Macaca fascicularis: one gene and its partners. The protein of the gene in region 4 binds, or shares a complex with, the protein of the main gene of each other region. Links are inferred from orthologs where the notes say so. Each region holds a gene or a part of one and is shown on either strand. Other genes may lie near its edges.

Region 1 (4,104 bases), on a different chromosome or scaffold from region 4:
TGAACCTATCATAGATCATCTACAGGGTATTCTTAAAAAGTCCAATTTCTGGCTCAAAAAGGCTGAGATTTGGACCATGGAAGTTAATGCCTCAATCAAAGTGCTAAAGTCTGTTATCTACAGTCAGTTGTACCTAGCCACTTTCAAGAACTTCCCCATCACCATTCTCTCCAACACCCCCATCAAACCTGGCTATTGTTCTCAAGCCTTAAGACTGGGTCTCTGTAGTAAAAACAGCAATTGCAACAATAATAAAAACTAAAACTACAGGTCTTTGATAGAAAAGGAATAGTACTTACATTAACAAAATCTCCACCCTGAATCATGAAATCCTTTATGACCCTGAAACAGAGAGCAAAGAATACTGAGAGAAGATTTTATGGAGACTTTGTTATTATTGTATTAGATTAACATTGATTTCAAAATACACTATAACTTTGGCTATTATAAAATCACCATTCTTAGCTGGGTGCGGTGACTCACGCCTGTAATCCCAGCAGTTTGGGAGGCCGAGGCAGGCAGATCACATGAGGCCAGGAGTTTGAGACCAGCCTGGCCAACATGGCAAAACCCCATCTCTACTAAAAATACAAAAATTAGCCAGTCGTGGTGGCACATGCCTGTATTCCCGGCTACTTGGGAGGCTGAGGCAAAAGAATTGCTTGAACCCAGAAGGCGGAGGTTGCAGTGAGCCAAGATCATGCCACTGCACTCTAGCCTGGGTGACAGAGCGGGACTCTGTCTCAAAAAAAAACCAAAAACCAAAAACCAAAACAACAAAAAAAGAAGATTATTCTTTTCCTGGAATGATTAAGCTGAAAGGATAATTAACCATAAAAAAGGATTTTAGTTATAAATTAGGGCATGTTAGAGTTGATCAAGTGCATGATCTGGTACCTGAACAGTAACAAGAAGAAGGGGCTGAAAGCCTGCAGGAAGAATGACCACATTACTTGCCAAAGCAAAAGGCAGATCAAGGATTTGATGTAAATTTGGGGGAAAGAACTACAGAGAATTTATGTGAAAGGTACTGCTACACATGTAAGGGCTTAACAATTGTTAGCTATTACCCCTAGGGAGGGTCCTTAACCTTTGTTATCCTCAGTTTCCTCCTCTGTAGAATGCAGATCACACATACCACTTCACAGGAGTCTTACTGGGGATTAGAGACCCACAGTTCTAAAGCTGTGATATAATTATGTGCTAACATTGTTACTAACCACAGTGAGGCCATGAGAAAGATTCTATATTGAAATGAGACTAAGTGTTGCCATACTCCACTCCCCAGGAAATATGATTATCCTTGGACAATCATATATGATCATTTTAGGAATTAGTTATAAATAGCAACCAGCAGGATATATTATATGCACTTTAGGATTACAAGTGTACTTCTTTAAAAATCTGCATTTGCACAAACAAGTGCATGAAAAAGACAGGATATTGTAAAGATGAGTAGTTTCTGTTTTAAAGACATAAGAAGTGGGAGAGTATAAGTAGAGTTAGAATATTTAATAAATCTTCAGTTATTGAGTCCACAAAAACATTTCTTCTCAAGAAATGTAAGAATTACCTCTGGTTTTATTTTCCTCTAAAGAGCCTAATCCCCCAGGAAATATTTCTGAAAGACTCTAGGATGGCTTGCCAAAAGCCTTACCTGTGGAAGGTGCTTCCTTTGTATCCTATTGGAACCCCATCTTTTCTATAACAAAAAGAAAGAGACTTGGAGTGATAGCAGGTAGCACAAGGCCTTTCCAGTTTACCATGCACTGGAGCCAAAAGGACTCTCCTAAAGATGGTTGACAGACATAAAGAAGGCAAATAAACTAGGGACAGACCCTTGGGGCATTACCTTCTATCACTGTCACCAGCAATCATTCAAGGCCAGCAGCTGGTTCACCGATACCCTCACCGCAGCCCCAGAACACCCTTCTGGAGCAGGCAAAGAAGTCAAACACATCTGAAACTGACCTGAATTCTCCGGTGCAGAACTGCCTGAAAGGGACAAAAAGTGAACAATTCAATCACTATGACATCACAGTCGTGACCGCCTCTAAAGACGGGAAAGAATAAACAATGGAGCCAGCAAGTCCACCAATCCGCCAGCCAGACGTCCAAACACGGAGACGTACAGACTAACAACGTAAATTAACACGGGAACAATCCAAACGGCAACCAGACAGAGCAAAGCACGGAGGAATCAGGTCTCAAGAGCAGTGAGCGGACGGACAGAGGTAGACAGGCTATTCAGGCGGCTGACTAGAGCCCGACTTCTGCCTTAGCTAATCCAGCGGAACTGGAGCACGTCCTTACCTAAAGTTCTCGGCCGTCTTAGGCACAACGTCTGCAAAGAGCTCGATCTTCATGCGGCCAACTTCCTGCAATCAGCGGGAGACTGTCAGAAGGCCCAGTCCAAGACCATGAGGGCTTCACGGAGCTGGGGGCAGGATGGGCTGACCCACCACCCTGCCGCTCGGTATCACCCACCTCCGCCTCTCTGGTCTAACCACCCAGTTCCTCCAGAAGCGGGGCGCTAGGATTGGGGAGACTTCTCCTCATTTCTCCCCGCCCTGCAGGTCGGTAGGTTCGGGTGCAATTTCGCTTTCTGGCTGGCTTCCCGAGTCCGCTCTCTCTGAGTGAGTTCTGCCTGCCTAGCTAGCCCCGAGCAGTTTCCCTTCGGCGCAGGTGTGGGTAGCGTCCTGGATCTCACCTGACCGCCAATGCTGACATCAAAGAACACCACGGGGTTAACAGGACTTGAATTTGCCACCGCCATGGCTCCGACCCGGAAGCAGAAGTCGGGAGCATGGGATTCCGGCGAACCTAAAGCCCTGTCCGCGGGTTTCGTCCGGGGAGCAGGCGCGGTGGACGCAGAGAGAGACCGGGCCCCGCCCCCGGAAGCTGTCGCCCCGTGCCGTGTGTGCTGAGGCTGCTGGGGTCTAGCTGGGAGACTCTCCCTGAGACGGGGGACGCGGGAGTGAGGAGGAGGAAAGCCTTGACATCTTTTTGGTTAAGGTCGATGGTCACCCCACTCACGTGGCTGTACTAAGGGCAGTACAAGTTGATCTTGCTCTAGCTAGGGCTTTTGGACTAGGCAGTCGCCAGGGTCCTCCTTATCGGCTCTTGGAACCAAGCCCTCTACACCGCCACACGTGCTGTGTCTGTCTTCTGCCCGCTAGTCTGTGAACACCGTGAAGGCAGGAACTCTGGTTTGTTCATCCTCAGCGTTTAGAACAGCTTGGCACGTAAAGGCTTGCTAAGTAAATATTTGTCCCTTCCTCTAAGTCAGGACAATAGATTAGGTTTCCGTTCTGCCACAAGCTCCCAGTTTGGTCATTTCCAATTCGTTTCCCACAGAGTAACTAGAGTTTTTTATTTTTTATTTTTAAAATACCTCTTGTGATTCCTATTTATTTTTAAAATAACTCCTGGCTTCCTATATTTAGAATAAAATCCAATTCTGTACATAGGAAGCCCTCCAGTGCATTAATCTGGCTATTACCTACCTGACCTCATCTTGTACCACTTGCCCTTAGTTACTGTGCTCTGACCTGTCTGCTCCTCCAGGTCACTGAGATCCCTCCTTTCTTTAAGGCCTTGTAATAGCTGTTTCTTCTGTCTGAAATATTCCTTCCAGATCTTAATGTGGGTTGGCGGGGTGATGGTGGGGTTTGGTTGGGCTATGTGTGTGGGAAGTAATGCTCCTTGTAGTTCAAGGCTCACCCCAGATGTTACCTCCTCAGAGGCAACATTAGACCTAATCTAAAGTAGCCCTTGGTCACTCAGATCACTGGTTTGTTTTCTTCATGCCACCCCCCATTTCACATTTGTATGGTATGTGTCTGCACCTCATTTCCTGCCACACACACATACATCTTCCTCCCTAATAGCATATAAACTCCATGAAAGTAGAGACTCTCTCAGTCCTGTTCGCAGCTGTAGCTGCAATGTCTCCTACTGAATAGCACATAGTAGGTAAATATAATAGATTCAATGAATTTAGTGAAAGAAGGGGAACTTGGGCAAGACTCATTAGCTATAACAGCATGCATTTAATATAATAGTTATTATTTCCTAGGTCCTTTGATCATCTTTTCTAGCTCT
Region 2 (3,960 bases), on a different chromosome or scaffold from region 4:
TTTTTTTTTTTTTTTTTTAAAGACGGAGTCTCTCTCTGTCACCCAGGCTGGAGTGCGGTGGCGGGATCTCAGCTCACTGCAAGCTCCGCCTCCCGGGTTCACGCCATTCTCCTGCCTCAGCCTCCCGAGTAGCTGGGACTACAGGCACCCGCCACCTCGCCCGGCTATTTTTTTGTATTTTTTAGTAGAGACGGGGTTTCACCGTGTTAGCCAGGATGGTCTCGATCTCCTGACCTCGTGATCCGCCCGTCTCGGCCTCCCAAAGTGCTGGGATTACAGGCGTGAGCCACCGCGCCCGGCCAATTTTTTTTTTTTTTTTGAGACGAGTCTCGCTCTGTCGCCCAGGCTGCAGTGCAGTGGCATCATCTTGGCTCCCTGCAACCTCCACCTCCCGGGTTCACGCAATTCTCCTTCCTCAGCCTCCCGAGTAGCTGGGATTACAGGCGCCCGCGACCACGCCTGGCTAATTTTTTTTGTATTTTTAGTGAAGACGGGACTTCACCATGTTGGCTAGCCTGGTCTCGAACTCCTGACCTCACACAATCCATCCACCTTGGCCTCTCAGAGTGCTGGGATTGAAGGCGTGAGCCACCGCCCTCGGCCTTTTTTTTTTTTATCAGCTGAATTTAAGATTAAAAACATTTTTTAATTTTATTTTTTGAATTTTATGTTTTTACTTTAACAAATATAGAAAAGTGCACACTTCATAATCTTCACAAACTCCCCACAATTCTCGATAGGATGTGTGTAGAGGGCACGAACACATCACGCTGTGGACGGCAGGGTTATGGAAAACAAAACCTTTTGAGCTCAGACGCCGAGTGCCTCCACCCGCCTAGCAGCCCAGGCTAGGGTCCGCGCCTGCGCAATGGGAGCCGGCCGGCCCTGGAAGAAGTCGGAACGAAGGAAACCCCGCCCCTTTCCCGGCTTCCTCCTCCCCTCGGTTTTACCCAGCTTGCGCTCCCCAGCCGCAAGTCGGCCGCGCTTTACCCTTCAGCGCTTGGAGGGTTCTGCGTCCCTTCCCGCTGCGCCTGCGCGGTCCCGCCTCGCCCCACGCGCGGGCTCGCGCTTCGGTTCTCCCAGACCTGGTCTCAGCATCCGGCTCTTTTCTCGCTCCGGCCCGCTGCCCGCTGCGCCAGCACCATGGTGGGTACCGTGACGTCAAAAGGGGTCGCCCTCGGGGATCTCGGACGGTTGGGGCAGGGGGGTCTGGCCTTTGTCCCCCTAGGCTGGAGTTAGGTCCGGAGTTTTTATCTTCATCGTTAGTCCTGTTCCTCAAGTTCGTTGAGGAGACACCTGAGAGCAAATGGGATTTTTTTTTCCATGATGAGGAAAAAAACCCCAACCCTGAGAGAGATTCAGTGGGGACAGCGGGAGACGGAAAAGTTAGACCTTAGAGCACTTCTCTGCCAGGCAAGCTTCGGCAGGGTGCGGGTGGGATGTTTTCTGTAATTCATTGAAAGGAGTGGGCAGGTACCCGAGAAAGGTGGTCGATTGAGAGAGCACACTGGGGAGGCCGAGGTATGCAGGGCAGAGCCTCTCTGGGACTTTAAGTGATGGGCTCAATGCAGTGTGCAGAATAATTTGGGCTCCAGCCTTTCACCTCTCAACCAATTATTCTTTCCTGTGAAATTTTGAGAACTGTTAGGGATGCAATGGGGTTCACAATACCGGTATTTGGTAATACTGTCAAGGGACACTCCTCCCTACCATGTTCCTTCCCACATGATGGTTTTCCCCCTCTCTCCCAATAGCTCTTCTATTCTTTTTTCAAGTCCCTTGTGGGCAAGGATGTGGTCGTGGAACTCAAGAATGACCTGAGGTAGGTACCTGTTCCAACAAGTCTGTTGGGGGTGGGTGTGCCCAGGGCCCTGGAACCTCTTTAATTTGAGAAATATTTGAGGGCTGGGTGAGGTGGAATATGTACAGAAGAAATAAATGGCCGGGTGCGGTGGCTCACGCCTGTAATCTCAGCACTTTGGGAGGCTGAGGTGGGCGGATCACGAGGTCAGGAGATCAAGACCATCCTGGCTAACACGGTGAAACCCTGTCTCTACTAAAAATACAAAAAATTAGCCAGGCATGGTGGCAGGCGCCTGTAGTCCCAGCTACTTTGGAGGCTGAGGCAGGAGAATGGCGTGAACCTGGGAGGCAGAGCTTGCAGTGAGCCCAGATCACGCCACTGCACTCCAGCCTGGGTGACAGAGCGAGGCTCTGTCTCAAACAAACAAAAGAAATAAATGGGTGGGGTGCAGTGGCTCACGCCTGTAATCCCAGCACTTTGGGAGACTGAGGAGGGAGGATTGCTTGAGCCCAGGAGTTTGAGGCTGCAGTGAGCAGTGATTACTCCATTGCACTCTAGCCAGGGCAATAGAGCAAGACCCCATCTCTAAGACAAATTTTAAAATTTAACAATAAATAAATGCCTTGTGCCTTAAATTTACAGATAAGCTTGGGGATTGTATTGTGTATTGGAAAACAATACAAAGCAATATACAGTTTAAAGAGTAAATACTGGTCAGGTGTGGTGGCTCATGGGCTGGACGTGTGGCTCATGCCTGTAATCCCAGCACTTTGGGAGGCCGAGGTGGGTGAATCACGAGGTCAGGAGTTCAAGACCAGTCTGGCCAAGATGGTGAAACCCCGTCTCTACTAAAAATACAAAAATTAGCCAGGCATGGTGGCAGGTGCCTGTAATCCCAGCTACTTGGGAGGCTGAGGCAGGAAAATCGCTTGAACCTGGGTGGCAGAGGTTGCAGTGAGCTGAGATTACGCCACTGCACTCCAGCCTGGGTGACAGAGTGAGACTCTGTCTCAAAAAAAATAAATAAAGAGTAAGTACTAGGCTGGCCATGGTGGCTCACACCTGTAATCTCAGCACTTTGGGAGGCTGAGGCAGGAGGATCACTTGAGTCCAGGATGTCGAGACTAGCCTGGGCAACATAGAACCATTTCTATAAAAGATTAGCCAGATGTGGTTTACATGCCTGTAGTCCCAGCTATTCGGGAGACTGAGGTGGGAGGATCACTTGAACCCAGGAGGTCGAGGCTGCAGTGAGCCATGATTGTACCACTTTACTCCAGCCTGGGTGACAGAGGAAGACTGTCTCAAAAAAGAACAGGCCAGGCCAGGCGCAGTGGCTCACGCCTGTAATCCCAGCACTTTCGGAGGCCGAGATGGGCGGATCACGAGGTCAGGAGATTGAGACCATCCTGCCTAACATGGTGAAACCCCGTCTCTACTAAAAATACAAAAAATTAGCCTGGTGTGGTGGCGGGCGCCTGTAGTTCCAGCTACTTGGGAGGCTGAGGCAGGAGAATGGCATGAACCCAGGAGGTGGAGCTTGCAGTGAGCCAAGATGGCACCACTGCACTCCAGCCTGGGCGACCAGAGCGAGACTCCATCTCAAAAAAATAAACAAAAAAACAGAACAGGCCATAGGCTGGGCATGGTGGCTCATGCCTGTAATCCCAGCACTTTGGGAGGCTGAGGTGGGTGGATCACAAGGTCAAGAGATTGAGACCAGCCTGGCCAACATGGTGAAACCTACGTATTAGATATGCTACTGTGTATCTAATACCTAGTATAGGCCAGTTGTATGATAGGTGCTTAAGGAAAGAAAAATAATATCTGAAGACCTATTGACTAAGCACTATTCTGAATACATTTATTGATTGATTTCTCAAACACTCCTTAGTAATATGTACTATTGCTGTTATACATATGAGGAAACTGAGGCTTAGATCAGCTATACCACTTGTTCAAGTCTACAAAACTAGTAAGTGATACAGAACAGAAATATGATTATGTCCAGCTTTTTTCTTTTTCTTTTTTCTTTTTTTTTTTTTGAGATAGTCTCGCTCTGTCGCCCAGGCTGGAATGCAGTGGTGTGATCTCTGCTCACTGTAAGCTCTGCCTCCCGGGTTCATGCCATTCTCCTGCCTCAGCCTCCCCAGCAG
Region 3 (4,116 bases), on a different chromosome or scaffold from region 4:
TCCTCCACGGTTCCCCAAGGCACGAGAGCTCCCAAGGCGGCTCCAGTAGGACTTTTCGCTTCTGGGGAAGGTGGCGCCCCTTCTACCCGGACCCTCCCACCATGCGGACAAGGGTCGCAATCCTGCCAGTGTCAGGAAACCCCCACTGACTGGAGCGAGGCGGGTGTGGGGGTGAGGCGGGAGTCGGCCCAAGGTCGCGCGGCTGGACCCTGCCCCGCGCTAGGGCGGGGTCCCCTTCGTTCCTAGGGTGAAGACTGGGCCCACAGAGAGGCACTGACCGGGCTCGAGCGGCGGCCCCGCTGCCTCCGCCTCCGTCCTCATGACCCGGGCGGCGCGGGGCGCCCATGGCCCCGGCCCAGAGCGGGCTACAGCTTCCGCTTCGGCTGGGGCGGTAGGGCGGTCGGTGCGTGTCGAGTTCCTTCTCCGCCACCGCCGCCGCTGCGGAGGGGAGAACCGGAGGCGGTGGCTGGGCCGCCCCAAGCCCCGCCCCAGCCCTTCCAGGTCTCGAATCTGGAGGCCCCGCCCTTTCTCTAAGCCCCGCCCCAAACTTTGATCCTAGAGGCCCCCAGCCTCCCGATTTAAATCTGCCCCGGCCATTCACCGCCTCAGCGTCGAGTGACCCAGCCCTCTCGTCCAATCCTCGCGCAGCCGCGAAGCCCAACAAGACGCGGACCCGGAAGCTCCGCCCCTTTCCTTGAGCCCCGCCCCAAAGCCCGTGCATTTCGTGAACAGAGGCTCCTCCCTTCAGCAAGCCCCGCCTCTGCCGGGGCCCGCTCCTTTGCCAGTCTTAGCTGTAAACCCTGGTCCGGCCCAGTGTATTCCGGAGGCTCCAAACAACTCTCCTTAAACTGCCTTTAGGGATGACCCTGAGCCGGCCTCCTCTCTACTCTATACCTAACTTTATCCGTACGAGATACGTAGCCTCACTCAGGGCGCCCCTTACCTGGCGGTGCTGGGATCAAAAAATTAAATTGTGAGGGGAAGTCCTGGCCCTTGGCCCAACCTCCTGCTGCCCCCGGTCTGAGGGCCCAGGCCCCGAGTCTCCGCCTTGCCGTCCAGCCTGTCCTTGGTGTGGGGCGCTTGGAAGTGCAAGCACCCTCTCTGGCTCTTTGCCGGCCCCAAGGGTCGTTGTTTGCGGCGGTCCCCGGGCCCAGTCTTCGGCCCTCTTTTCCGGTGCCGGAACTATCGTACTGGTGCCTTAGTTTCCCAGCCGGCACGCGGGGTGAGGAGGAAGCGGAGGCGACACCGCTCTCACCACTGGGGAAAGGAAGGAGGCGGGCCCTGCGCGCAGCATTTTGGGAACGAGTGGAATTCTGGGAGCTGGGCCCGCCATTCTCTTGATTCACGCCTTCGCCGTAGCGGCTTTCGCCGTGCACCGAAGAGAAGGAAAAGTAGGCCAGAACCGGTGAGGCTGGGGACGGGCGAGGGGAGGTCGAGGTGCCTGTGAGGGGCCGGGGGCTGGAGAAAGACTCAATGCATGAACTCTGCGGGATTCGGGGAGGGAAGAAAGCGGGAAGTTTGGACCACCCAAACATCAGCGTCGCCTCACTAGCGCCTGGAAGTAAGTTCATTAGCTGCTCCCTCAATGTGCATGCTTCTTACATTCTGTATCTCTCCAGGTGAGTGTTTTTCAAAGTTTCCAGGCAGTAATCTTGAAGTTATTTCCTATGAGTTTTTTGAATCTTGAAGTCAAATCCTATGAGGGTTTTTTTTTTTTTTTTTTTTAAAGTAGAGACGGTTTCACCATGTTACCCTGGCTGGTCTCGAACTCCTGGGCTCAAGGGATCCACCGGCTTCGTCCTTCAAAAGTGTTGGGACTACGGGCGTGAGCCATCGCGCCCAGCCGGTCATTTTTTAAAAAGTTCTTTGCATGTCTGCCCCCAGCTCCCTTTCAGGCAGTGGTCCCGTCATGCTTTCCACACTGTTGCAGCAGTTTTAACTGTTGCAGAAATTTTAACAAGTTTCTCTGCTTCTAAACCTTACGTTAGATCCATTTTGTAAATAAATGCTGCTACCTTTTCATTGTGTCATTCTTTACCTATAATTTTGCAGTGGTTCCCCACTATCTTCAGCATAAAATCTAGGCTCCTAAGGCTGAAAGCCAGGGATCCTCACCAAAGGAGCCTGTCTTTTCAACCTCATGTTCTCCTGTCTTAGGTGCACTTAGGTTCCAACTTTGAGTCGTCGCTCATGTCAATAAAAAGTTCACTACTTGATGCTTTTAATTAGGTCAAGTCAGGTGCTTTCCCTTATTTTCCTCCATGACGGGCATTTCCTGCATATAGCACGTTGTCACTTCGATATTTTCTCAATATCCTTGATGGTAAAGTAAGGGAAGGGTTAAAGAGCTGCATTAAAAGTACAGTCTCCTCTCCTAGATATGCATGGTCCTTAGGTCTGTATCTGCTCCTTCCGTAGGGTAGCCACCAGCTACATGTAGCTGTTGAGCACTTGGAATATGGCCACTGGGATTGAGGGACTGGGTTTTTTATTTTAATTCTATTGTGTTTTAGTTAAGTTTAATTTAAATAGCTACATGTGGACATGAGCTACTGTATTGGACAGCTCAGGCCTGTGTTATGATTCTCAAAATATAATAATCTACAATTAAGGGTTGACAAATAACAGTGCAACAGATTAACATTCCAATCCCCCTCCCCTACACACACAGTATTCGCTAATGGTCCTTTAGCTGAAGATTAAGGGACATAGGGTAGCAGGGACACATGGTCGATGGGAGATGCTCTCTTTTCATTCCTATTTTTACTTCTGTCCACCCCACCATTCCTCCTCACCCGACATCTTGCACATATTTGCCAGATAGTTTCCTCCAAGCCAGGAGCTGAGCTTTCTTTTTTCTTTTTCTTTGATAGAAAATGCAGCTTTGGCGTTTTTGCTAAGTTTTATGGAGTGCCAGGCCTTGAAGGAGGCATGACGTGTGCCGCATGCCTTCTCAGACTCTGAAAGATGAACTGACTGTTGTCTCTTTCACTGTAGAGCTCTCTTCCTGCCAAGATGTCTATTGGTGTGCCAATTAAAGTGCTGCACGAGGCCGAGGGCCACATTGTGACATGTGAGACGAACACCGGTGAGGTATATCGGGGGAAGCTCATTGAAGCAGAGGACAACATGAACTGCCAGGTATTCTGCTTTGCATGTGAGGCTGTGTGGGAGGAATGGCCCTGTGTCTTGAAGGACAGAAAGGTGTGGGTTGGGGGTCTTCTGTAAATTGTTCTCATTCAGCAATGATTTCCTGAGTGCCTAACACATACCAGTCAGGTGCTGTTATAGGCTCTGGGGATGTGGGCATGAACAAAACACATAGTCTTGAGGCAGAAAAGCCATTTGGAGATTTGGAATATTTTACTTCGCCTTTTTTGTTTTTTCCATCCCCAAATTTGGGGACCTGTTTGGGAGAAGTTCCTTCAGTAGAATCCTTCAGGTTCAGAGCCATTATCCATTTGCCTCCACTTGCTTTGCAGTTAGGAGAATCTTCTCACATACTGTGTTTGTTTCCCTTTTCTCTTGGAGGAGGAGTCTCATTTGATTATTGCAACTACCTTGTGAGGTAAGCAGGTTTGGTGGTAGTCTTGTCATCCATAAAATAGGGAGAATGAGATTAAAGGACTCATCACTCTGATAGTAAATAATGGAGTAGTTTCTTGATACGGTGTCCTTCTCATGGCGCAGCTTTGCCTTTTGCATAGTCATCTGAATTTTTATAGCATTGTTTTTCAGTTGTATCTTCACACTTTCTTTGTTCTTTAAACCATTGGTTAAGAACTTGGACTTGGGAGTCAGAGAGAGATGTGGGTTTGATTCCTAATTATATGACCTTAGATGTATTAATCACTCAGTTTTCTCATCTGTAAAACGGGAGTGTTATTATTTTGGGTTCTTTGATGTAGATGCCAAGACAGAATTATGCAAGGTATTTATTGGGGGAAATGACAATAAAGGATAAAGGAACAAGGAAACAGTAGTAGGCAGGGAAATTTTCAGTCCGTGATGCTGGTCTGACTGGTGAAACGAGAGGGGAAAGAAGGAGGATTGAGCAGGAAGAACCTTAGACTACAGTGTAGTTTTGAGGAAGTCTCAGCAAGGCAGTGATTGCTC
Region 4 (3,500 bases):
GGATTACAGGTGCCCGCCACCTGTAATCTAGCTTTTTTTTTTTTTTTTTTTTTTTATTTATCTATTTTTTTTTTTTGAGACTGTCTTGCTCTGTTGCCCCGGGGGAATGCAATGGCACGATCTCGGCTCACCACAATCTCTGCCTCCCGGTTCAAGCGATTCTCCTGCTTCAGCCTCCCGAGTAGCTGGGACTACAGGCGCGCACCACCATGCTTGGCTAATTTTTGAATTTTTAGTAGAGATGGGGTTTCACTATGTTAGCCAGGCTGGTCTTGAACTCTTGACCTCAGGTGATCCACCCTCCTTGGTCTCCCAAAGTGCTGGGATTACCAGCGTGAGCCACTGTACGCAGCCTCACTGGACTTACTTTCTCACATCTTTTTTCATTTATACATGTAGACAGGGCTCTTTCCAGGGACCTATTTGGAGACCAGCTATGAGTGTATCCTTACTGCCCCTTTAAATTCACATGGGCAGTCTTAGTTCCTGGTTTTTGCCTTAAGGTTTCTCATTTACCCTTTTGTTTTAGATGTTGTTTAGATGTTGAGGACCCAGAGTTGTTTTTTTCTTTTTACTCCTCTACTGCCATCCATATATTCGTCTGTATGTGTATATATATATATATATATATTTTTTTTTTTTTTTTTTTTTTTTTCTGAGACGGAGTCTGGCTCTGTCACCCAGGCTGGAGTGCAGTGGCGCGATCTCGGCTCACTGCAAGCTCCGCCTCCCGGGTTTACGCCATTCTCCTGCCTCAGCCTCCCGAGTAGCTGGGACTACAGGCGCCCGCCACCTCACCCGCCTAGTTTTTTGTATTTTTTAGTAGAGACGGGGTTTCACCGTGTTAGCCAGGATGGTCTCGATCTCCTGACCTCGTGATCCGCCCGTCTCGGCCTCCCAAAGTGCTGGGATTACAGGCTTGAGCCACCGTGCCCGGCCTGTATGTATATTATACATATATGCCCCACCTCTGCCCAGGTTTCTGTTGCTGTTTAAATGCATTGCTAACTTGTGTTCTTAACTTCTGCTTGGGATTATAGGGCCCTGTAGGGAAGGGTCCTGGCTGTGGCTTTTGGGCTGCTGGTTGGCGAGTCTGGCTGTTTTTCATGCGTGGCATTACCCCTTTGTTGGAGCGATGGCTGGGCAACCTCCTGGCCCGGCAGTTTGAAGGTGAGTGGTTTTCTCTGTGTCCAACTTCTCCTGTTACTGCTTCAAAGCTACCTCTCGTTGTCTGAGTCTATTCCCTGCTCTTGTATGAGCACCCCTTCCTACTGGATTGCCTTCAGGTTCAGTTCTCAAAATGAGTCTGACCTAGTTTTCTATTTCTTGGGCTTCCTTCTGGGGCCTTGAGAGGCAATCATGCACTTGCAGGAGTGGACATTCTTCAGAAGCGTAGTTGTGAATGTTTAAGGTAGCTCATCTTTTTGCATATGCTGGGCACATGGACGCTTTGTTAATACCTAATTTTATTGTGACCATAATAAGTGAGGGACATGAAGGTAGAGACCCTTACTGAAAGCAAGGAATCATGCTTGTAATCCCCTTGGGATACTCTACTTCTAGGTCGACACTCAAAGGGGGTGGCAAAGACAGTAACAAAACAGCGAGTGGAGTCACATTTCGACCTGGAGCTGCGGGCAGCTGTGATGCATGATATTCTGGACATGATGCCTGAGGGGATCAAACAGAACAAGGCCCGCACAATCCTCCAGCACCTCAGTGAAGCCTGGCGCTGCTGGAAAGCCAACATTCCCTGGAAGGTGGGCGTCTCTGCATTTCCTTGGAGGGGTGAACATCGTCTTTAGGTCAGGATCACCACTCTGGGACTCATGAGGGGCCTATCTGGCTCCCACCTCTTTTCTTTTCTCTTTTAGAGAGGTGCTTGCTGTGTTGCTTAGGCTGGCCTCAAGCTCAAGCTCCTGAGCTCGAGCAGTCCTCCTCAGCCTCCTGAGTAGCCGGGACTACAGGTGTGCACCGCAGCACCTGCTTTATCCCGGCTTGATTGTGCTTTTTGGACTTTTAGGTCCCTGGACTGCCAACGCCCATAGAGAATATGATCCTTCGATATGTGAAGGCCAAGGCTGACTGGTGGACCAACACTGCCCACTACAACCGAGAACGGATCCGCCGAGGGGCCACTGTGGACAAGACTGTGTGTAAAAAGAACCTGGGCCGCCTCACCCGGCTGTATCTGAAGGCAGAACAGGAGCGGCAGCACAACTACCTGAAGGTTGGGCAGAGTAGGCTGGGCTGGCTGTGAGCGGTCGGGGAGTGGGCATGAGGGAGGACTGCAGAGTTGTGACTGAACCTTGTTCTCGGGGGAGCGGGCTATAGCGGGAGGCTAATTTCATGTCCACCTTGCAGGACGGGCCTTACATCACGGCGGAGGAAGCAGTGGCAGTATATACCACCACAGTGCATTGGTTGGAAAGCCGCAGGTTCTCACCCATCCCATTCCCCCCACTCTCCTATAAGCATGACACCAAGTTGCTCATCTTGGCATTGGAGCGGCTCAAGGAAGCTTATAGGTGAGTATTAGGGTAGATAGGTTCCTGCTGGGAAGGTGACAGGAGGGAATAGCATCACCCTCAGAGTCCAAAGAGAGAAGGTGTAGCCCCAGTCTCTTCTGGTTTTACTTCCTCCTGGTTTTCCCATTCACCGTTGCCATTGCCTTATCAGTGTGAAGTCTCGGTTGAACCAGTCACAGAGGGAGGAGCTAGGTCTGATTGAGCAGGCCTACGATAACCCCCACGAGGCGCTGTCCCGCATCAAGCGTCACCTCCTCACACAGAGAGCCTTCAAAGAGGTGAGTGAGAGCCTCCCAAGTTTTCTTTTTGGTTCTGCCTTTCATTCTTGGTAGAACCAAAGGTAGCAGGTTGCCTCAGGTGATTGGTGTGAACCAGCCTCCTTGTACCACAGGTGGGCATTGAGTTCATGGATCTCTATAGCCACCTGGTTCCAGTATACGACGTAGAGCCACTGGAGAAGATAACTGATGCCTACCTGGACCAATACCTGTGGTATGAAGCCGACAAGCGCCGCCTGTTCCCACCCTGGATTAAGCCTGCTGACACAGAACCACCTCCACTGCTTGTTTACAAGTGGTGCCAAGGTAGAACTTTCCTGAGATTGCCCTGTGAGGAATGGGGGATGAATTTAGTTCTATGTCAAAATTCTCATCTGGGCAGCATGATTGGTTTACTCTCCTGATGCATGGTAGTAAAAGGAAGTAGTGTTCCTGTTAAACTGAGGAAAGCCCATAGTCAAAGCAATCCGGATGCCTACGTGGAATGGTAGTGGGATTGGTTGTGGAAGGTGATGATAGTTACTGTGGGGCTAGTCCTGAAAGAGGATTTCTAACCTGCTGGAGACCTGCCTTGCTACTCCTCAGGCATCAATAACCTGCAGGACGTGTGGGAGACAAGTGAAGGCGAGTGCAATGTCATGCTGGAGTCCCGCTTTGAGAAGATGTATGAGAAGATCGACTTGACCCTGCTCAA
Region 5 (3,500 bases), on a different chromosome or scaffold from region 4:
CGCCAAGTCCAAGTGGCTGGCAGGGGATGTGCCCGCAGCAAGGAGCATCCTGGCTCTGGCCTTCCAGGTGGGTGAGGTCGCCTGTGCGGTGAGGGGCCTGTGCACACAGGAGCTGACCTGGGTGCTGACTGGGGCCTGAACATCTCCCACATACAACGTGGCACGTGCTGTGGCTGGGTGCACTGGAGTCCAGGGGCTGCTCCTCGGGAGCAGGGGCCGTGAAGGGGCCTGAGAGTAGGAAAGCAGCCACCTGGCAGATACGTACCTCTTGGCCCCCGACGCCGTGTGACCACGGGTAAATGTTTCAGAGTGTAGAGCATGGGGTCACACGGGCTGAGGGTGCCCTTACGTGAGTGGACGCATTCAGACAGCCTCGCTGAGCCGGGTTGTCTGAGGGTGCCTGGTTGTCATGAGGTGTGTGTGTGTTTTTTTAAGTACTTGTCTTTATTTTCACATATAGCATCCTAATACTTCATGACATACTTTTTAATAAACTGTAGAATGCTGTATAAACGTCAGTTACTGCAGCGCAGGCTAATGTCATAGAGCGTGCCCTTCCTTGAGCAAACATCATGAGAGGGGCCTGGCCTGGGTTTTACCTTCCGCTCTCAGCTGCCTGTTTGAGATGGCATCACTCCTGTGGGTGACCGCAGCGTCCCCTCCGCCTGCCCGCTCTCTGCTGCCTGTCAGGCGGCTTTCCTTGCCCATCGTTTTTGGGCTGCTTTTCAGGTCTGTGATGTGGTCATCTTGCATGGTCAGTGAGCGGCTGTGCTGATTAGGATGCATTCAGACAGCCCTGGGCACCAGCCCTGGGGAGGCTCCGAGGGCAGAGCCTTCATGTCCACTGGGCTCTGGGCTGTGTGAGCCTCCTCGGCCTGTGGACGCCTTCTCCACATGTCAGTGGCACTCTGGGAGTCCTCTCTCCTGCCCATGTGGGCTCATGAGGACAGAACAGCTGGCTTCCTTTCATCAGGCTCAGGGCAAAGAGCGAGGTTGGGTGTGGTGGGTCTCTATAGGGTGTGAGTGACCCATTCAGGGGCTTTGAGAGGGTGTGGATGGATCCTGGATAAGATGGCCCTGCTCCCACCCCCATTATTGCTCAGTGCTTTGGCAGCCTCCTCGCTGTCCGCGCTGTACTAGAGTGAACATGGACCTGTGTGTTTCCAGGTGAGTCCGGATTCTTGCACTGGAGTCTGCTCTGTCATCTCCTCCCTGGGAAGGGCTTGGGCCGGACTAATCCTGCAGCAGAACAAGGCCTGGCTCAGTTCCTGCCTGCCTGCTTTTGATTAAGTGTGATCAGGCGCTGGTCCCTGTGTTCTGACCCCTCTTGACGCTGCTGTACTTGCCCTCCAGGCCAACCCCAACAGCGAGGAGATCTGGCTGGCGGCCGTGAAGCTGGAGTCCGAGAATGATGAGTACGAGCGGGCCCGGAGGCTGCTGGCCAAGGCGCGGAGCAGCGCCCCCACCGCCCGGGTACGCAGTGGCAGGCAGGGCTGGGCCATCCGGGGTGCGTGGTGTGCACACGTGGGCCCCGCACCTGGCTTGAGTGGTGATGTGAGATGACAGCAGGCAAACGAGACCAGAGCACATTCATATGGCCAGGCATGGTGGCTCACGTCTATAATCTCAGCACACAGCACACTCATCTTTGTGATGTGACTTTAAAACATTCATATGGCCAGGCATGGTGGCTCACGCCTGTAATCTCAGCACACAGCACACTCATCTTTGTGATGTGACTTTAAAACATCCGTGTGGCCGGGCGTGGTGGCTCTCACATCTGTAATCCCATCTCTTTGGGAGGCCAGGGCGGATGGATTACCTGAGGGTGGGAGTTTGAGACCAGCCTGACCAACATGGAGAAACCCTGTCTCTACTAAAAATACAAATTAGCTGGACGTGGTGGCACATGCCTATAATCCCAGCTACTCAGGAGGCTGAGGCAGGAGAATTGCTTGAACCTGGGGGCGGAGGTTGCCATGAGCTGAGATTGCGCCACTACACTCCAGCCTGGGCAGCAAGAGGGAAACTCAACAACAACAACAACAAAACCTGCATGCGGCCGGGCGCGGTGGCTCACACCTGCAATCCCAGCACTTTGGGAGGCCGAGGAGGGTAGATCACGAGGTCAGGAGTTCAACACCAGCCTGACCAACATGGTGAAACCCCGTCTCTACTAAAAATACAAAATTAGCCAGGTGTGGTAGCGTGTGCCTGTAGTCCCAGCTACTCGGGGAGGCTGAGGCAGGAGAATTACTTGAACCTGGGAGGCAGAGCTTGCAGTGAGCCGAGATCGCGCCACTGCACTCCAGCCTGGGTGACAGAGCAAGATTCTATCTCAAAAAAACAAAACAAAAACATACTCATATATTTATCCCCACCTTTTGTGTACACAAACAGGCTATGAAAAGCTTACAAAAGTACCCACAGTGCTGCAGGTAACAGTGTCGAGGACGAGCGTAACACGAAGCACGTGCCTTGGAGCCGATGCCCTGCTGACGGTGCGTGTCTGCCCCACAGGTGTTCATGAAGTCTGTGAAGCTGGAGTGGGTGCAAGACAACATCAGGGCAGCCCAGGATCTGTGCGAGGAGGCCCTGCGGCACTATGAGGACTTCCCCAAGCTGTGGATGATGAAGGGGCAGATCGAGGAGCAGAAGGAGATGATGGAGAACGCGCGGGAAGCCTATAACCAGGGGGTATGTCTGCCTGCACCCTCGGGCTGCAGCTGGCCCGGCATTCACAGAACTGAGCCCCCTGGTGCAGGGCCATTGCCCTTCACCTCTGAGGAGATGTGGAGGGCTGGGGGTTACAGCGAGGGAGCTGTGGGCTCAGGACCCACACCCCGGTCCCCTCACTGAGTTCTGTGCTTTGCCTTGTATGAAGCTGCACACGCTGCTCTCAGAAGTGCAGAGCGTGGCACACCTGAAGTAAAGGCTGGTATGTACAGACCTGTGTGCACAGGTCCACAGCACCACCGCACACTCGTAAACCCACAAATGCAGAGTGGGACACAGGCAGTCCTGAGGTGCTGGCTCGCCCACTGCAGTGAGCAGCTGGCATGGCTGCGTCCCAGTTCTTCATAGACACCACCTGAGCTGCTCTCTCACTTGTCGGCTGCAGTTGAAGAAGTGTCCCCACTCCACACCCCTGTGGCTTTTGCTCTCTCGGCTGGAGGAGAAGATTGGGCAGCTAACTCGAGCCCGGGCCATTTTGGAAAAGTCTCGTCTGAAGAACCCAAAGAACCCTGGGCTGTGGTGAGTCCTGATGAGTGGGGGCAGCCTGGGCTCTTGGCACAGCTTACCCATCAGGTGGGCCGTCCTCACCCAGCTGCTTGTGTGGAGTGACTTGTGCAGTGTTTCCAGGCTCGGGGGCTTGCGAGGCAGTAGGTGCTGGCCACGAAAAATCACGGTCCCTGCCTTGGGAGGGTTCGGCTTAGGTACTGGGACAGGCCTGCAGATGGTTTGATGCAGTTTAGTTTGTGTTCTGATGGAGGGTGCCT
Region 6 (3,500 bases), on a different chromosome or scaffold from region 4:
CTGAGATCGCGCCACTGCACTCCAGCCTGGGTGACAGAGCCAGACTCCGTCTCAAAAAAAAAAAAAAAAAAAATGAATGTCATATAAAATGGAAGAGGGATGCAGAAGTGGACATAGTGACTCGAACCTTCACTAAGGAGTGAGGAGTTTGCTGTTGGGGCTGCAGGGTTGAGGAAGGAGTTTTTTTAAGAGGGGAGATAGTGGGTAATCGTTGCGTGTGGCTGGGCATCTGCGACAGGAGGGAAAGCAGAGGGTGCTGGTGCCTGTGTGGGGGTCGCTGGATTCAGTGCTGGCAGCACGAGCGAGTTCTCTTCCCATGTCACGGAACCTGCTTTCTTGGTGAAGCAGGAAGCGAGAAGCTAGGCTGTGGGAAGTCAAAAGAGTGGGCCACCTCACCGCACTGCGGGTTCTAGAAGTGCTGTCTAGAGAGTCCTGAAACGGGTTTGTTGGGGGAGGGGCGAGTGGCAGGAGGGACCCTGGAGGAAGGAGCTTGAGGCTGAGGTAGTGTGCGAGGGGCTTTGGAGGGGGATCGGCACAGGCCTGGTCAGGAAGGCCCTGTAGGATGTTGGGTGTTCATTTAAAGGGCATCCAAACCCATTGACGGGTTTGGAGCAGAACAGTGACCCCAGTGAAAGAGGTGCAGAGTGGAGTCAGGAGGCAGAGAGCAGCTGGGCCTGCATGGGCTGTGGGCGTGGCTTGTCTTGCTGCTGCCAGGGAGGACCCTTGGGTTCTTGGGTCTCAATGGCATCACCCCAGAAACTGCTGGGTTTGCCCACAGCTGCTCCCTCCCCCAGGTGGTGGAGATTGTGAAGAAGCTGGAGTCTCGCCAGCGGGGCTGGGAGGAGGATGAGGATCCTGAGCGGAAGGGGGCCATCGTGTTCAACGCCACGTCCGAGTTCTGCCGCACCTTGGGGGAGATCCCCACCTACGGGCTGGCTGGCAACCGCGAGGAACAGGAGGAGCTCATGGTGCGTCTGGGGCGACCCCACCCTGCACTTCCCTGGGCTGGCTGGGCGCCTGCACCAACCCTGGCCTTTTGTGCCCCAGGACTTTGAACGGGATGAGGAGCGCTCGGCCAACGGCGGCTCCGAATCTGACGGGGAGGAGAACATCGGCTGGAGCACAGTGAACCTGGACGAGGAGAAGCAGCAGCAGGATGTGAGGGCTGCGCCGCTGGCGGGTGGGCATGGGGGTGGCGCTCAAACTAGAGATGAGCACTGGGCTCAGTGTCCAGAGCCTCAGCCTCCTCATCCAGAGTGGGCTCTGCAGACCTCTCAGGGCGATCTGAGGAGTAAATGAGGAAATTAAATGTTGTGGAGGCCTGGTGCCTGGTGGGTGGTGACCAGTGGGTGGGGCTGAGAAGAGCCGGTATGGGCTGCTAACCACTTCTGTCACATGTCCCCTAGTTCTCAGCCTCCTCCACCACCATCCTGGACGAGGAACCGATCGTGAATAGGGGGCTGGCGGCTGCCCTGCTCCTGTGTCAGAACAAAGGTAGGGAGCTCAGGGCAGCCCTAACTTGGGTGGGCCTGGGTGCTGCAGCAGGAAAAGGGCTGGTGAGGGCCTGCGGTGCGGCAGGTGCAGGCAGGGTCCCCTCTGGTCCCCTCTGCTGCCCCTTTCAGTCCCAATGCTGGAGCCAACTCCCTGGCCCAGAGCCACTCCTTCCCCTCCACCCCGGCGTCTGTCCGTCTGCTCTGCCTGTGAGGCTCCACACGTGCTCCAGGAAGGAGAGCGGAGTTGAAACTGGTCTAGCTGTGGCACAGAGAGCCCTGGTGTTAGGACCCCAGCTCTGCATTTCCCTGGCCAGTGGCCCTTGGCATGGGGCGCGTTTCTGGCATCTTTGCTTTGCCTGTAGAACAGGCCTGATGGCTTTCCAGAGACAAGGAAAGGGAGGTCCCCCCGCAGGGCCTGCTCTACGTTCTCAGGCGGCCCTGGAGCTGCGGCCCTCAAGGGGTTGGGAGTCTCACAACCCCTCCGTCCCTAGGGCTGCTGGAGACCACAGTGCAGAAGGTGGCCCGGGTGAAGGCCCCCAACAAGTCGCTGCCTTCAGCCGTGTACTGCATCGAGGATAAGATGTGAGTGTGGCGGGGTGTGTGCAGGGCTGATGGGCCTGTGCCAGCTCGGAGCTGCAGGAACACAGCAGGCAGCAGCTCCTCACACTAAGGCCCCCTCTGTCTCGGGCCAGGGCTATCGATGACAAGTACAGCCGGCGGGAGGAGTACCGAGGCTTCACACAGGACTTCAAGGAGAAGGACGGCTACAAACCTGATGTTAAGATCGAATATGTGGATGAGACGGGCCGGAAACTCACACCCAAGGAGGTGAGCAGGCGGAGGCCCAGCCTGCCACAGGGAGGCCAAGCCCAGGGCCGTGCAATGCCCCAGGGTCCTGGCTCCATCAGCCTCTGGCCGGGGGCCTGGTGAAGTGCCACGGATAGGGAGGGGGCCCTCAGGGCCGAGAAGGGCTCTGCCTTAGTTAGTCTCTAGTGGGCACAGCAGTCCTTTCACAGGCCAGGCAGGAGGGTCCAACAGGCACTCGGGACCTCTGCCCTCCTGTCCTCACCCGTGTGAACCCTTCAACGCTTTCCTGGCCCGCAGGGCCATTCCAGCATCCAGACCCTTCCATCACTCTTGTAGGCTGCCCGACCCTCCTGCCCACCACTCAGCTGCCCCCATGCTCTCTGGGGTTTGTCTCCCTCCAGCCCCAGCGTCCAGGCCCCGCCCCTGCGTGGCAGGTCACCAGGTTCCCTGTACTCTGCCACCATGGCAGCACATCTGCTAGCCAAGCTGGTCTCCCGGCCTCTGCTGGGGCCCTGCAGAGTGCCAGGGTCTGTGCCCTTTTCCTATCCCCTTCCCACCACCCCAGGCCTGGCATTGGGGTGAATCAACACCCGCCCTGTTACTACACACCTTGTGGGCACAGGTGGCTCCGGCCCCAGCCAGGGCTCTGCAGCTCCCCTCATGCCCTGTGTCCCCAGGCTTTCCGGCAGCTGTCCCACCGCTTCCATGGCAAGGGCTCAGGCAAGATGAAGACAGAGCGGCGGATGAAGAAGCTGGATGAGGAGGCGGTGGGTGCTCTTGGGGACGTGGGGGGCCTTGCGCCTGCCGGGGCAGGGGTGGCTGGTGTGTGGGGCCTACTGCAGCCCTTGTTGAGTGGCCCTGACCCCGCAGCTCCTGAAGAAGATGAGCTCCAGTGACACGCCCCTGGGCACTGTGGCCCTGCTCCAGGAGAAGCAGAAGGCTCAGAAGACCCCCTACATCGTGCTCAGCGGCAGCGGCAAGAGCATGAACGCGTGAGTGACTCGAGGCTGGTGGGGTTGGGTGTGTGGGGTGGGGAGGGGAGAGGTGGCGTGGCCTGTGCCCGCCTCTGCAGCCTCACGCCCTGTTCTTCTCTGCAGGAACACCATCACCAAGTGACAGCGCCCTCCCTCCCCAGCCCCGCCGCAACCTTCATATTAAATAAAGCTCCCTCCTTATTTTTTCCTCCCTGGTCGTGGTACA
Region 7 (4,161 bases), on a different chromosome or scaffold from region 4:
GATGGGGTTTCAACCATGTTGCCCAGGCTGGTCTCCAACTTTTGGCCTCAAGTGATCTGCCCGCCTCGGCCTCCCAAAGTACTGGGATTACAGGCATGAGCCACCGTGCCTGGCCCTGTTTTTGCATACATCTTTTTTTTTTTTTTTTTTTTTTTGAGAGGAAGTCTCGCTCTTGTCCCCCAGGCTGGAGTGCAATGGCGCAATCTTGGCTCACTGCAACCTCCGCTTCCCAGGTTCAAGCAATTCTCCTGTCTCAGCCCTCTGAGTAGCTGGGATTACAGGTGCCTGCCACCACGCCCGGCTAATTTTTGTATTTTTTAGTAGAGATGGAGTTTTACCATGTTGGCCAGGCTGGTCTAGAACTCCTGACCTCAGGTGATCCACCTGCCTTGGTCTCCCAAAGTGCTGTGATTACAGGCGTGAGCCACCACGCCCGGCCCTTATAGATATCTTTAAAAGGTGTTCATTAGACAGTAATTTTAGCCATGTTAATTGTGGAAAATACCAAGACAGTTTATATCAAGAAAATGTTAATAGTTAACACATCACACAGTTGACATCTCAAAACAGTTAATATATTAAGAAAACAGTTAATATATTCTGCATACAGGGAGCAATATAGTTTTACAGTTTTCTGAGCCAATGCCAATAATTTTGTAATACAGAAATGTATAGCAACATCTTGAAAAATGTCTACAGTATTAGCATTAAAACAGTTCTACTGAATCACAGAAACTAAATTTGATTTAGGAAGCCTACTGTTTTTCTCCGCTATGCTTAGATTAGAACAGAGCTCCTTATTTTTCAAGACCAGAAGTGCAAAATATCATAGTTACTGTAGTAATCTCTAATTCTACTTGAAGCAGACTCCTATCCTTTAGGTTATTTGAAAACTGTCGTAGATAAGACTTGTTAAATCTGCTAGTGTTTCTAGAATGCACTTTAAATTGACATGATTCACTGCTTAAAAAAAAAAAATTGCAGTACAGTCAGTAATTAAAAAACCCTGGTGACAACAGAACCCATATATTTTGTATTGACCTTCCTTCCTCCCACTCCACCAAAGCAGAAGCTAAAAACCTACAACCTACACATATCAACCTGCTCCTCCGCTGCTCATAACCATTTTTCAGGCGCAGAAGGAAGGGGTTGTGGGGGCTGGGCTTCATGTGGGGCAGGTGGGAGGAGTTGCAAAGGAGTCAGGTTGAGAGGCTTGGACTCTGCTTTCAAGGTAATAGGCTCAGAGTACTAAACCCAAAAAGAGATGGAATGAAAATAATACTCTTTTAAAATCGCAGGACTAGAATAACCATTTTACAGGTATCCAAGTAAACTTCCTTTATTGTCAAGGATATTCGGTTTCAGGTTTTAAATGCGTCTCAGATTGCTACACATAATATTTAAATGAAGGGGAAAAAAGCTCTAGAAACAAACAAACAAGAATTCTCGGGTAAGCAAGTAATTTAAAGGCTGAATACACAGATACGCAACCTCACCAGTATGCTCCACGTTATTACATATTTGAGAATAAGGACGGAGGCCACAGAGGCAAAGGCAAGGAGGTGAAGGAATCGGACACTCGGAGAGTGAATCGAAAAGATGTGAAAAAGCAAGGAAAACAGAAAAGAAGAGGGAAGGGGGAAAACTTTAAGGAGGAAAATGAGAAGGCAAAAGAGAAGGAAGTGCTTTGAGATTGAATCCAGGGAGGAAAAAGCAGGTGTGCCACGCCGCACCTCCAGGTCCCGCGGACACTACAGGCTCCGCAGGCCCAGCCGCCCGGGTCACGTAAGCCCCACCCCGCTGCTCCACGTCAAGGCCCCCTCCGGTCCCCCCCCCGACCCCCCGAACCCCCGACCCCCCGCCCCCGTCCAGTCGATCGCTTTTTTCCTAGCCCCACCTAACTCCCCCAGGCTCCACCTCGGTCTCTCAGAACCCCCAGCCGTCAGGGCCCTCCCGGCCTTGCCCCGCCCCGCCTCGCCGGCAGCTGCCGCCGCGTCAGGTGACAGCCCGGAAGCTGCGGAAGCGGATGAGAGAAGGGCGGCCGCGGCCCTGGGGGCGGGAGCTGCTCTCCCTCCACAGATCTCCCGGTGCGGCCCTCATGTGCTGCGCTCGCTGACACCCGAAGTCCGCGGCTCTCCGCACACGGTGGGGTCGTCAGACCCGCTGCCCTTGGCAGTCGAAGTCGTAGTGTGGGCCCGCGGCGGCCGCCCATGGAGAAGGCCAGGAGAGGCGGGGATGGCGCCCCCCGGGGGCCCGTACTGCACATCGTGGTTGTTGGCTTTCACCATAAGAAGGGCTGCCAGGTGAGGAAAGGGCCCGCCCCCGCCCCCGGCCGTTCGGGCGTTCGCGCCTCCCGGCGCCCCCTGCCTTCCTTCTGTGTTCCCAGCTCGCGTCGTGCAGTCCTCCCCACCGCGCCCGCGACCCTTCGCCTCTCAACCTGACTCCTTTGCAACTCCTCCCACCCGCCCCACATGAAGCCCAGCCCCCACAACCCCTTCCTTTTGCACCTGAAAAATGGTTATGAGCGGCGGAGGCGCAGATTGGTATGTGTAGGTTGTAGGATTTTAGCTTCTGCTTTGGTGGAGTGGGAGGAAGGAATCGAAGACCGGCCCCACTCTCTTCCCCGTCCATTATTGTCTCCACTGGCTTTCTGGGTGTCCACCTATAATGGGAGTCTAGAAAAATTCAGTGCTTGGACTCTGCTTTCAAGGTAATAGGCTCAGTGGGCTTGCATACTAATACTTCAGGTAGCTTGCGCACCTGCAGCCTCTGTAGAAAAATCAGCTTCCTTTGTTTATCTGATGGAAGCCTTGGAATCTGTCGTGTTAAGTACGGTTGTCGATTAACCCTGCCTCCCCCTTCCCATTGGTCCTTAGTTTTGCTATTTCATCTTCTCCGGATTTTACCTTTTGGTGAGAGATTAATCTCTCCAGATCAACCGCAATAAGAGAAAGCGTATTACCGACCAAACCGTTCAAATATAAAGGTGTTTTTCAGCAGCCTCATTGAATCTTTAATCCATCATCTGAAATGGAATATTTGCGATCTGTATATTGAAGGCAAGAGAACAAAATAGAAACAGGATTATCTAATGAGCAAGCAAACACTGGAAGGGAATGATGTCATAATGTGCTAGTGAACAGTAAATTGAAATGCTTTTTTGAAGTATTAAAAATAGTAATGGCCACCACTAGCTCATGAAGCGTTTAGTTTCTTGCATTCCGCAGGAAATGTAACATTTTAGAAGACGTATTGGCAAAAATTAAGTTCTCTAGGGAATAACAGAAAAAGTGATGGGAGTGAAAAAACTGTGCGTAATTTTGAAATATATCCTCACACCTGTAATGGCAGCACTTTTAGAGACTGATATGAAAGGATCACTTGAGCTCAGGAGTTTGAGACCAGCCTGGGTAACAAAGGGAAACTGTCTCCACAAAAAATTTTAAAAATTAGCTGCATGTGATAGCGCACTTGTAGTCCCAGCTAGTCGGGAGGCTAAGTTGGGAAGATCTCTTGAGCCCAGGAGGCTGAGGCTACAGTGGCCCTTGATCCCACCACTGCACTCCTGCCTGGATGAGAGAGCAAGACCCTGTCTCAAAAGAAAATTTTGGCGCCGGGTGCGGTGGCTCAATTCTGTAATCCCAGCACTTTGGGAGGCCGAGGCGAGTGGATCACCTGAGGTCAGGAGTTCGAGACCAGCCTGGACAACATGGTGAAAGCCCCGCCTCTACTGAAAATACAAAATTAGTTGCACGTGGTGGCACATGCCTGTAATCCCAGCTACTTGGGAGGCTGAGACACGAGAATCGCTTGAACCCGGGAGGCAGAGGTTGCTGTGAGCCTTGCACTCCAGCCTGGGCAACAAGAGCGAAAAAAAAAAGTTTTGAAAATTGTGTATTACGTGCATAAGTCTTATAATGACTGGTCTAGAATCTGTTCTTTATAACCTGTACATCAGGTGTTTTTAGAGGCTTTAATTAAAGTATGTAAGATTTGCCCCAGGATAGATTAATCAGCTACCTAATTCTCCACGTTACTATTTTACTTCCAGGTGTAAAGGATTAGAGGTGCGTGGCTCATTGAGTTGTGACTCTGACTTCACGTGGTTTTAACTTGTGTGAGGGTACTTAGACTGCTCTTCCAAGTATTCAAAATTGCCGT

The links.
Region 1: PRPF8 (region 4) and PPIH share a complex: the UniProt entries of both Homo sapiens proteins name them as parts of the U4/U6-U5 tri-snRNP complex. The link is inferred for Macaca fascicularis from reciprocal best matches to the Homo sapiens genes PRPF8 and PPIH.
Region 2: PRPF8 (region 4) and LSM2 share a complex: the UniProt entries of both Homo sapiens proteins name them as parts of the U4/U6-U5 tri-snRNP complex. The link is inferred for Macaca fascicularis from reciprocal best matches to the Homo sapiens genes PRPF8 and LSM2.
Region 3: PRPF8 (region 4) and SNRPD3 share a complex: the UniProt entries of both Homo sapiens proteins name them as parts of the U4/U6-U5 tri-snRNP complex. The link is inferred for Macaca fascicularis from reciprocal best matches to the Homo sapiens genes PRPF8 and SNRPD3.
Region 5: PRPF8 (region 4) and PRPF6 share a complex: the UniProt entries of both Homo sapiens proteins name them as parts of the U4/U6-U5 tri-snRNP complex. The link is inferred for Macaca fascicularis from reciprocal best matches to the Homo sapiens genes PRPF8 and PRPF6.
Region 6: PRPF8 (region 4) and SART1 share a complex: the UniProt entries of both Homo sapiens proteins name them as parts of the U4/U6-U5 tri-snRNP complex. The link is inferred for Macaca fascicularis from reciprocal best matches to the Homo sapiens genes PRPF8 and SART1.
Region 7: PRPF8 (region 4) and LSM5 share a complex: the UniProt entries of both Homo sapiens proteins name them as parts of the U4/U6-U5 tri-snRNP complex. The link is inferred for Macaca fascicularis from reciprocal best matches to the Homo sapiens genes PRPF8 and LSM5.

Annotation. Positions count from the first base shown.
Region 1 is NC_088375.1:192,210,766-192,214,869, forward strand, and holds the start of PPIH (peptidyl-prolyl cis-trans isomerase H), read right to left. Parts: upstream 2,801-4,104; 5' UTR 2,777-2,800; coding exon 2,711-2,776; intron 2,379-2,710; coding exon 2,314-2,378; intron 1,996-2,313; coding exon 1,972-1,995; intron 1,703-1,971; coding exon 1,658-1,702; intron 343-1,657; coding exon 300-342; intron 1-299. UniProt on the Homo sapiens protein: PPIase that catalyzes the cis-trans isomerization of proline imidic peptide bonds in oligopeptides and may therefore assist protein folding. Participates in pre-mRNA splicing.
Region 2 is NC_088378.1:139,906,423-139,910,382, forward strand, and holds the start of LSM2 (U6 snRNA-associated Sm-like protein LSm2), read left to right. Parts: upstream 1-1,160; 5' UTR 1,161-1,323; coding exon 1,324-1,413; intron 1,414-1,754; coding exon 1,755-1,822; intron 1,823-3,960. UniProt on the Homo sapiens protein: Plays a role in pre-mRNA splicing as component of the U4/U6-U5 tri-snRNP complex that is involved in spliceosome assembly, and as component of the precatalytic spliceosome (spliceosome B complex).
Region 3 is NC_088384.1:28,879,729-28,883,844, reverse strand, and holds the start of SNRPD3 (small nuclear ribonucleoprotein Sm D3), read left to right. Parts: upstream 1-1,316; 5' UTR 1,317-1,405; intron 1,406-2,997; 5' UTR 2,998-3,015; coding exon 3,016-3,141; intron 3,142-4,116. Other genes in the region: protein GUCD1, read right to left, coding at 279-321. UniProt on the Homo sapiens protein: Plays a role in pre-mRNA splicing as a core component of the spliceosomal U1, U2, U4 and U5 small nuclear ribonucleoproteins (snRNPs), the building blocks of the spliceosome.
Region 4 is NC_088390.1:1,799,951-1,803,450, reverse strand, and holds part of PRPF8 (pre-mRNA-processing-splicing factor 8), read left to right. Parts: intron 1-1,040; coding exon 1,041-1,170; intron 1,171-1,563; coding exon 1,564-1,760; intron 1,761-2,023; coding exon 2,024-2,230; intron 2,231-2,364; coding exon 2,365-2,528; intron 2,529-2,679; coding exon 2,680-2,806; intron 2,807-2,919; coding exon 2,920-3,112; intron 3,113-3,391; coding exon 3,392-3,500. UniProt on the Homo sapiens protein: Plays a role in pre-mRNA splicing as core component of precatalytic, catalytic and postcatalytic spliceosomal complexes, both of the predominant U2-type spliceosome and the minor U12-type spliceosome.
Region 5 is NC_088384.1:120,163,527-120,167,026, forward strand, and holds part of PRPF6 (pre-mRNA-processing factor 6), read left to right. Parts: coding exon 1-67; intron 68-1,353; coding exon 1,354-1,473; intron 1,474-2,520; coding exon 2,521-2,697; intron 2,698-3,121; coding exon 3,122-3,255; intron 3,256-3,500. UniProt on the Homo sapiens protein: Involved in pre-mRNA splicing as component of the U4/U6-U5 tri-snRNP complex, one of the building blocks of the spliceosome.
Region 6 is NC_088388.1:8,419,510-8,423,009, reverse strand, and holds the end of SART1 (U4/U6.U5 tri-snRNP-associated protein 1), read left to right. Parts: intron 1-778; exon of another isoform or gene 779-794; coding exon 795-968; intron 969-1,047; coding exon 1,048-1,158; intron 1,159-1,406; coding exon 1,407-1,494; intron 1,495-1,984; coding exon 1,985-2,075; intron 2,076-2,185; coding exon 2,186-2,321; intron 2,322-2,977; coding exon 2,978-3,067; intron 3,068-3,170; coding exon 3,171-3,292; intron 3,293-3,397; coding exon 3,398-3,416; 3' UTR 3,417-3,482; downstream 3,483-3,500. UniProt on the Homo sapiens protein: Plays a role in mRNA splicing as a component of the U4/U6-U5 tri-snRNP, one of the building blocks of the spliceosome. May also bind to DNA.
Region 7 is NC_088377.1:97,812,454-97,816,614, reverse strand, and holds the start of LSM5 (U6 snRNA-associated Sm-like protein LSm5), read right to left. Parts: upstream 2,801-4,161; 5' UTR 2,632-2,800; coding exon 2,508-2,631; exon of another isoform or gene 2,499-2,507; intron 2,304-2,498; coding exon of another isoform or gene 2,211-2,303; exon of another isoform or gene 2,029-2,210; intron 2,005-2,028; exon of another isoform or gene 1,898-2,004; intron 1-1,897. Other genes in the region: late secretory pathway protein AVL9 homolog, read left to right, coding at 2,211-2,303. UniProt on the Homo sapiens protein: Plays a role in pre-mRNA splicing as component of the U4/U6-U5 tri-snRNP complex that is involved in spliceosome assembly, and as component of the precatalytic spliceosome (spliceosome B complex).